2 linked regions of the Drosophila melanogaster genome follow. The gene in region 2 interacts genetically with the main gene of each other region. Each region holds a gene or a part of one and is shown on either strand. Other genes may lie near its edges.

Evidence for each region.
Region 1: of Smu1 (region 2) and beag, changing one suppresses a phenotype caused by changing the other (phenotypic suppression), as found in Drosophila melanogaster (one study listed by BioGRID).

The regions. Positions count from the first base shown.
Region 1 is NT_033777.3:9,062,487-9,066,808, forward strand, and holds beag (beag), read right to left. Parts: upstream 2,593-4,322; 5' UTR 2,504-2,592; coding exon 920-2,503; intron 855-919; coding exon 765-854; 3' UTR 646-764; downstream 1-645. Other genes in the region: Ada (adenosine deaminase), read left to right, coding at 2,753-3,766.
Region 2 is NT_033777.3:18,978,168-18,983,264, forward strand, and holds Smu1 (Smu1 spliceosomal factor), read right to left. Parts: upstream 3,158-5,097; 5' UTR 3,090-3,157; intron 3,028-3,089; exon of another isoform or gene 2,940-3,027; 5' UTR 2,679-2,939; coding exon 2,653-2,678; intron 2,585-2,652; coding exon 2,518-2,584; intron 2,462-2,517; coding exon 2,203-2,461; intron 2,136-2,202; coding exon 1,057-2,135; intron 995-1,056; coding exon 896-994; 3' UTR 813-895; downstream 1-812. Other genes in the region: euc (eucalyptus), read right to left, coding at 208-416, 477-606; dnk (deoxyribonucleoside kinase), read left to right, coding at 3,405-3,736, 3,813-4,083, 4,141-4,290; snRNP-U1-C (small ribonucleoprotein particle U1 subunit C), read right to left, coding at 4,936-5,097.

The sequences.
Region 1 (4,322 bases), 9.9 Mb from region 2:
ATACTTTTATAAATTCTAATGACATGTTTAGGTGGGAAATCGCTGCAATATTTTCAAGCTAGGTAACCAGAAACAAATTCTACTATTTAATCATTTCCGGCTTTGTTTTCCCCATTTCCTCAAACCACTCTTGGCAGTGTAAAGGGCTGAGCTTCGGTTTTCCGAAGCTGAAAGATACAAACTTTACCGATACCCATTTTATACAAGTCGCCCCACCATCCTCACACTCGGACTTAGCGTAGTGATTAAGAATAGCATTCCCGCGAAGGTAATTACATTTAATCAGTGTCATATTTCTAAGCATGCAGGAAACGTTACATGTTAGAGAGCAGCACTAGGTGCACCCATCCAGCTTAAGTAGATGCAGCTCGCACACCAACTGAGAATCACAAGCAGTGCGTTTCGGGACTGTAAGAGCAATGCAATGCAAAATAAAGAGATCGATTTTATTTGATTGTCGAACCCGTTTTAAAGTTCCCCAACATTTGGCCTTACTCGATGGAAATTAAACTCGCGTTGCGCCAGCGGTCTTACAGTTCTGAATCCCACTGTACCAGCGCTATTGCCGCACATAGTCGATAAGTCAACCTGCCAAGCTCCCTAAGGACCCTCCCCTTAGTTCCCAACTCCAGTAGCAGTTAAATTAGTGATAACGTTGCTAAAATATATTTGAGAGCATGTAAGATTAATACAAGTACGAGCATACTTATATTTAATGTTTTACAGAATTACATTACAAATATAGAATAATGTTTCAAGAATTTCTAGTACTTTGCGGATTTGTAATCGGGTTCATCGCCACCAGCACCGCCGCCTCCACCGTCCTTTGGCAGTTTTCGCTTTTGAATGATTGTCTAAATGGCAAAGAAAAATAAATATTTTGTATTGATCATCGACGAATCCTTTGGGATATACATACCTGAATCTTTTGCCACTCCCTATCGAGCTCGGCCTTCTCGTTCTTCTCCGTCTTGTTCTTGCGCGTCTTGCGACCGTCCTGCATCTTGACCCCGTACTGGAAGGCTGCCTTGGGCAGCGCCTCCTTCGTGCTCATGTAGTCGGAGTACTCCTCCTGCGTGTCAAAGTCCCAGCGTCCAATGGGCCCCTTTTTATTGCCCAAATCCATCTTGGTGTAATCCACCTCATCGTCCGAGTCGTCGATGGCGTCGTTCATCTCCTCCAGCCCGGGATAGCATTCTGCGTATCCCTCGGGTTCAGCGAACCGTGCGGCCATGGCCTTCGATATCTTGGGTGGCGGGGGAATACTGGATATTATCGGCTCCTCTGATGCCTCCGGCGGGCCGTCTCCAAAGTAGGACGGGGCGGACTTGCCTTGCTCCTGGCGGTTTCGCTCAGGTCGCGTGGCAGAAGGTTGGTAGTCCCCTATATCGTCGTAGATATTATCGCCCAAGGGAGCTGATTTCCCTCCCATGTTCGATGAGGACGAGGTGGCGTGCCGACTGGAGCCACCATTGCTAGACGACCCACGAAGATTTTCCACCTCCTTTTCGTAGAACAGCGGTTTGTCCTTGTCGCGCTTTTTGTTCTTCTTGTTGCGACCACCGGCACGTAGATAGCTCAGGATTTGGGACAGCTTGTTGATCACAATGTCATTGGTGGTCAGCGTGGCAACATCCTCTTGTGACACCGGCACCTCGAACTTGGAGCGCTTCAGTGTGGTTGGAATATCCGACTCCCCTAGCTCGTCATCCAGGTCGATCACATAGGCCATCCGTCCTGGAGCAAATAGCTCATTGCGGGGAACTTCTTTCGAACGCCTTGCCTGCACTAGATTGTAAATATTGCGCGCTAGTGCACCATTGATTGCATTAATATCCTCCGACTCGCGGCGTTCCGCTTCCAATTGCTCAGCGGCGGCAGCTGCTTCGGCGAGCTTTTCCCTTGCCACAGCGGCGGCAATCTCCTCCTCTTCCGCTTCCTTCGAGTGCAGCTCGGAGCGCACTTTTTGCAGAAGGGCGTAATCAAGACCCTTCACCAAATGCGTATGCTGGATGTCTCCACCCAAGAACTTGGACTCCTGAATGATACGTCTTCTTCGCTCCTGGGCATCGATTCCGGATTTCATATCTGGCGCTACAGCTCGATACGCATTGGTGCTGCTTCCGTGTCCCGGCGTGCTCACGTTCACGTAATCTGGATTGGCACCATCGCGTCGTTCTCGTGCTCGGTCCCTGTACTTCTCGGACAGCTCTTGCAGCTTCACATCCTCCTGCTTCTTGAGCGCCGCATAGAAGTTCTTTTTCTTGCGACGCAGATCATTCCGCTCGCTGCTGCTCTGACCCTTCTTCTTTTCGCCACTCAATCCTGTCGTGCCGGGGGCGGTGGAGGGCGTGGCAAAGGTAGCAGTGGCCAGAGATCCTCCAGCGGAGGTGCTGCTCGTCCCGGAGCCAGGAGGAGGAGCTCGGGGCGTCGCTAGCAGCTTGCGGAAGTCATCGTTGGTTAGTCGCACCGAAGGCGGTGCTTCCAAGTGGGCATCCGACATGGCGAAGAAAATTCGAAGAAAACTCGCAGAGAAAATCTATATTTACAAATTGTGCTTCTTCTTGGTTTTGCCTGCCAGGGTTGGCTGTGTTTTTGATTTTTCTCCGTACTGTAATCGATAACATGTTTACAGTGATGGAAGATTAGCGTTTTTAGCGTTTTTTCCGAATAATTACGAATATTTGAAAATCGATTCCACATTTAGCATCACTGTTTCTCATAATGTATTGTTATTATTGTTAAACTACAAATGGAGCAGTTTCTTAAAGGTCTGCCCAAAGTAGAGCTCCATGCTCACCTCAACGGTTCCTTGGGCATCAAAAGCCTATGTGATCTTGGCGAGCGATTGTATGGAACCTCTTGTAAAGATTTCCTGAAGTTGTGCGCGCACTTCAGCCGATTTGAAAAGGATATGGATGCATGCTTCGAGAAGTTTGCATTTGTGCACGAGTTGACCTCCACCCGGGAGGGTCTGCGATTTGCCACGGAGTTGGCGATTCGAGATTTCGCTGAGGACAACGTCCAGTATGTGGAAATGAGGACCACTCCTAAGGCAAACGAGAACTATTCACGCAGGGACTACCTGCAGATCGTGATCGATGCAATTAAGGCAGCTAGCGAAACGTATCCAGAGATAACAGTCAAGCTACTGCCCTCCATCAATCGAGCGGAACCAGTGGACGTGGCTGAGGAAACAGTTTCCCTGGCTGTGGAGTTGGCACGGGCTCATCCAAATCTTATCTTAGGCATCGATCTTAGCGGTAATCCAGGGAAGGGGCGGTTTTCCGACTTTGCTCCTATTCTTGCACAGGCCCGGGATAAGGGTCTGAAGTTAGCTATACACTGCGCCGAGATCGAGAATCCATCGGAGGTAAAGGAAATGCTGCACTTTGGAATGTCCCGCTGTGGACATGGAACTTTTCTTACTCCCGAGGACATTGGGCAGCTTAAACAACGAAATATTGCCATTGAATGCTGCCTCACTAGTAATGTTAAGTCGGGAACAGTGCCCAGCTTGGAGGAGCACCACTTGAAAAGAATCATGGAGGCAGATGCACCCAAGGTTATCTGCACGGACGACAGTGGCGTTTTTGATACCACTTTGACAAAGGAGTTTCTGATTGCTGCGGAAACTTTCGGTCTAACCCGTGAACAATGCATCGATTTGACCTTGGAGGCAGTGCATCATTCATTCGCCAGCGAACAGGAGCAAATACAGATGGCGGATAGGGTGGGGAACTACGCAGACATATTGGTCAAATAAAAAAACTGTCACTGCCCTAATTGAAATAAATAAGTTTTTGTATGTAACACCATATATGTACCAACCTGATTCTTATTTGTCAAAAATTTTACCTTTTAATATCATTCTTTTTATTCAATATGTAGAAGTATTTAGTTACAAGTTTGTTCATTAGTTATGTTCATCCTTCGTACGTACATATGTGGCTAATAAGTTTTTATGTTTTTCTCATTTAATATCATTCATAATTGAATTCAAGTTTTCTGTTCATTACTTTATGTTCTCGTTTCTGCCGTTCTGTGTGGCTTAGTTTGGGGGTAGGCATTCAAAATACAATGGAGTACAAGCTTTGGTCAATAGTGGGCTCTTAAACTGCACCAAGTGAAGTGGACGATCGAAATCTAAGGAAACCAAAGTAAGACTTAAATGATCGAAATCTGTAGTTTAATAGCACATTTTGAAACAAACTTTTTGGGTGAAGACATCTTTATAGTCGGACCCTCCACCTACCCAAGCCTGCAGATTAGCTTTCAGTTGAAGTGGTTTGCCTGCCTGGTATTCCCTATATACAGTTTAT
Region 2 (5,097 bases):
ACGATTTGATTACATTTTTTGGTGGGATAATTGTTTATTTTTTAATTGTTGTAACTCCTACTAATTTCTTTCTTGACTTCCCTTAGAATTAAATAGAAATATTTTAATTTGTTATAATTTATTATTGGGGTGAAGTGAATAAACAATAAACGTTAAATTGTCGCATATAATAAACGAAATGCATGCATAATTACTTTTGACACCGAGCTAGTTTTGAGAATTTATGCGAAACTTCTCCAGCATTTTGTTGATAGCCTCCTCATCGCCATCGATCTTAGCCTTCTCCTGCTGCAACACCTCCTGGAAAGTCTTCTGCTTAGTGCCCACCAAGTAGAAGTCCTCATCGGAAATGGTGACCTGTGCATCGACACTGGTGGCACTCCCCTCGTAGATGTCCAACGCTTTGAAATCAAAGACTACGATGAGACGGTCAACGGTGGGCTGACCCACAACCAGGCATCCTCTTTCCCACTCACCCATGCTCTTGATGAGATTACCATCCGCATCGGTGAAGTTGAACTGAAACGTGTTGACGACGGTGCGCCGGGCAGGATCCGATTCCTTCAACTTGTTGCGTATCTTCTCGATGATCTCGTCGCTCTTCATGTTGCAAGTGAACCGGCTGAGTGTCGCTGCTCGACTAATTTAGGTGCTGGATTGAGGCAATTGAGGGAAACTCTGTGGATTAGCGCTCTGAGAGATTGGCGCTTTGCATAATGCTTAATTAAAGTCAATTTGTTTCATATAGGCAAGATTGAAGATATTGATGTGAGGAATGGCTGAGGGCATGAGAAAAAAACTGCAAGCGCTTTGGGGTCAGTAGGTATATTTCGGCAGCTCAAATAAGACCACCAACTAAAACTAACTAGGTGTGAAAGTCAATTGCTTATATGGTCTAAGGCTTCCAAAGCTTCAGCAGGCCGTCCTCACTGTAGCTGGCCAGTAGATTTTGATGCGGATGATGTGTCAGGCCAATGACGTCCTTTTCATGAACCTATGGAATAAATATCACGTTTAAAGTCAGTTTGAAAACAAATAGTTTAAAGAGCAGCTTACGTTCAAAGTACGTTCAAGTTTACCGGAGGAGACGGAGAAACAGTAAAGCACCTGATCCTCTCCAGCGCAGTATATGAACTCTCCTCGCGGCGAAAGAGTGGCTGAGATAAAGGCACCGCCCTCGCGCTTACCCGACGAGAAGGATCGCACAATCTGGCCCTGCATGTTCATAATGACAACCGTATTGGATCTGTTGCAGACAATGAAGTGTTCGGGATTCTTGGGCAGAATGAGGACTGTGTTTACGGCCAACTCGTTGCCAAGGGGCTTGTACGTGGCCACGCACTCGGTCGTTTTAAGGGACCAAACCTTTACTGTGCCGTCGGAAGATGCGCTGAGCACGCTGTGTCCGTCAGGCGTAAAGGTGGCTTCGTTCACAAAGGAGGAATGCCCCTTGAACTCCTTCAGCATCTTTCCCGACTTCAGCCCGTGCAGTCTCACCGTGTAGTCGAAGGATGCGCTGAGTACCTGGCTGTTATCTCGCGAGAACTGCAGACAGGTTATTCCCTTGGTGTGGGCTTTCTCGAATTTACGCAAACACTGACCGGTGATGATGCGCCACACCTTGATTTGGCCATCCTGTGCGCCCGATGCCACCATCTCGGAATCTCGTGAGAAGTTCAACGCCAGCACCGCCTGTTCCATCATCATGAACTGGTCCTGCGCCTGGTACTTCAGATCCTTTCTCACCTTGCCGGTGGTAAAGTTCCACACCTCAAGGAAACCGTCCACACTGCCCGTTATCAGATACTGACCATCCGGCGAGAACTGAGCGCACTCAACGTGCGACTTTTGGCCAAATTTGATTTGTCGGAACAGCTGGGTGGGATACATTTCTTCTTCCTGGTCCTTCATCGCCGCCTTGCCGCGGAACAAATCAATGGTGGTGCCGGGCGGAAGGAGTCCCTGGTGCTGTTGCCATTTAAGAGCCTGTCCCAGGAGTGCCAAGAGCCTGGAGGAGGGCACCACATGCACCTCGCCACTTAGCTCTTGGGCAATGACCGTGCGCCGCTTTTCCTTGCTACTTCCCTCTGCATAGGCTTCCCTGGGATCGAAGTAAGCGCGCTGCAGCATGTTTTCTACAGACAAATATACCAATTAGGAATCACGAACTCTAGTGAAACCTTAGAATGGCTTATATTTTACCCAAATGGATGTATCGTTCGGGCTCCTGCTGCTTCAACATGGTCATGGGATCCGTCTGGCGGAGCAGAGATCTTGCTGCGCCCAGTTCTCTGAGCTCGATCAGCTCCAAGACTATTTGCTCGTATAGATTGAGCAGCTTCTTATCCGGTAATTTGAGAGACTGGGTCACTTTTAGCACGGTGTCCCAGTGCCCGTTGGAGATATCCTGCACAAAGCCATCCACGCTGTCCACCGTATTCAGGGAGACACCCGTTTCCTCCTGAAAGTTTAAGATCATTGAAAGACAAACTCTCTCCGCGGTGTGTAAGTACTAACCTGTAACGTTTGCAGGGTCTTCATAAGGTTGGACTCCTTCAGATACTGCTGGATGAGCCGAATCACACTTTGTTTGGGGGGGAAATCACGGATCTAGTAAAAACTGAGTGGTGTTGGTCGATTTACAGTACTTACTCCGCTGATTCGATTTCTATGGACATCGTAAACTAATTTCCCGGTTTAAGATTCCTTTTAAAAATAAGTTTTAATACAGGTTTATAAAAATGTACAATAATATTGATAAAAAATGCGTCGTCGTAGGGATGGCGAAAAACAGATACTATGCACAGAACAGCTGACCGTTATCGTTATCGCCGACAGCTGATTCTCAGTATAGGCAAAAAGAAAATTCATTTCACAACGTTAAATAAAATAAATAAGAGGCCATAAAAGTTGTGAGCAATAAATGTTTAATTTTATTGCTATCAGTGGTATTTGTATTTAATAAATTTGTAAAAACAGCAATGTCCAGCAAGCACATGTGGCAGAAAAACATTATATCATTAATAGGTAATTCAACCAGCATTGGCTTAAACTTTAAGTTTTTGTAAAGATGTATGTAAAAACATTACCGGCAATAGAATAGACACACACACACACACACACACAGTTACCGATCAGCCGGTTGACAAAAACAAGCATAACGATAGGTAACACCGATTAAAAAAAAAAGAAACAAATGGCGATGTTCCCGCTCTTTTTGTTTTTCGGCGGTAAACGATCTGACCAGGCGGGTTGAATCAGTCACCATATTCCCGCCGCCGTGTACAGTACTCCATCGAATCCGGAACAATCAACTTCAACCGCGATCCGTTGCTGCTGTGCTGTACCTAAAACAGTTAGTAAAACTCCCAATCTCACGTGCAGATCGCCGATTATCCGGACTGATGGCGGAGGCAGCATCCTGTGCCCGAAAGGGGACCAAGTACGCCGAGGGCACCCAGCCCTTCACCGTCCTCATCGAGGGCAACATCGGCAGCGGGAAGACCACGTATTTGAACCACTTCGAGAAGTACAAGAACGACATTTGCCTGCTGACCGAGCCCGTCGAGAAGTGGCGCAACGTCAACGGGGTAAATCTGCTGGAGCTGATGTACAAAGATCCCAAGAAGTGGGCCATGCCCTTTCAGAGTTATGTCACGCTGACCATGCTGCAGTCGCACACCGCCCCAACCAACAAGAAGCTAAAAATAATGGAGCGCTCCATTTTTAGCGCTCGGTGAGTGCATTATTCCCGTCGTCCGGTTTGACCAGAAACGCTAAACGAAACTTATCCATTACCCATCGCGCCGCAGCTATTGCTTCGTGGAGAACATGCGACGAAACGGCTCGCTGGAGCAGGGCATGTACAATACGCTGGAGGAGTGGTACAAGTTCATCGAAGAGTCCATTCACGTGCAGGCGGACCTCATCATATATCTGCGCACCTCGCCGGAGGTGGCGTACGAACGCATCCGGCAGCGGGCTCGTTCTGAGGAGAGCTGCGTGCCGCTTAAGTACCTTCAGGAGCTGCATGAGTTGCACGAGGACTGGTTGATACACCAGAGACGACCGCAGTCGTGCAAGGTAGTTTCTACACAAGCTCACATCTACCGAAGCCGCTAAATATGCATTTTTCCTCAGGTCCTAGTCCTCGATGCCGATCTGAACCTGGAAAACATTGGCACCGAGTACCAGCGCTCGGAGAGCAGCATATTCGACGCCATCTCAAGTAACCAACAGCCCTCGCCGGTTCTGGTGTCGCCCAGCAAGCGCCAGAGGGTCGCCAGATAACCATTATCCCATTAGTACCTAATTGTGTGTAGTACAGACGTTTAAAATAATATTATAAGAGGCCTAGACGAGCCGATTCGCGGGACAAAGGCAGAAACTTACACTTCGAGCCAATGATTAACACATTCGTATATTAACAATTATAATCCACATTATATTCTCTTCACAGCAACTAGTATGTAAGCTCAAAATATTGTAATAAAAACTGTGAATGTTTATGTTAAAGGCAAGGCACCTACTATTTTTGTGTTAGCATTTCAGTTCACTTGCATTTTAACTATATTGTGTTGGACAATGAAATCATTAAATGCCTTCTCTAGCATTGATTTTTGTTATCTTTTTCTGAAGCGGGGTTTTTTAAAGTCATAATAATGTGTGCACCGTAAAAGCGGCGTGATCTTATGCCTGCTGAACTCTAATGTGACTGCATGCGCTTCTCATTACTGACCTAAATATATATACTTTATTTCTCTATTGACTTCCACCCACAAAGACAACCATTTGTTGAGTCAACTTGCTTTATATAAATGTATATAATTAATTGTTTTCGCTATCGGGCTTACTTAAATGCTACAGCTTAATTAGGACATCGCAAGGAGAGCACTCCATCTGTGCTGTGAACGTTGATGCCGTTCCTGAGGGCGTTCACTTGGGTCCGTTCATGATTCCTGGACGGACGCCGGGTATAGTGCCCAGTGGAGGCGGTGGTCCCATCATGGCCATGGGATTCATAATCGGTGGCGGACGCATGCCCATCATGGGGTTCATCAGTGGAGGCATATAGGGCATTCCAGGCATTCCCGGACG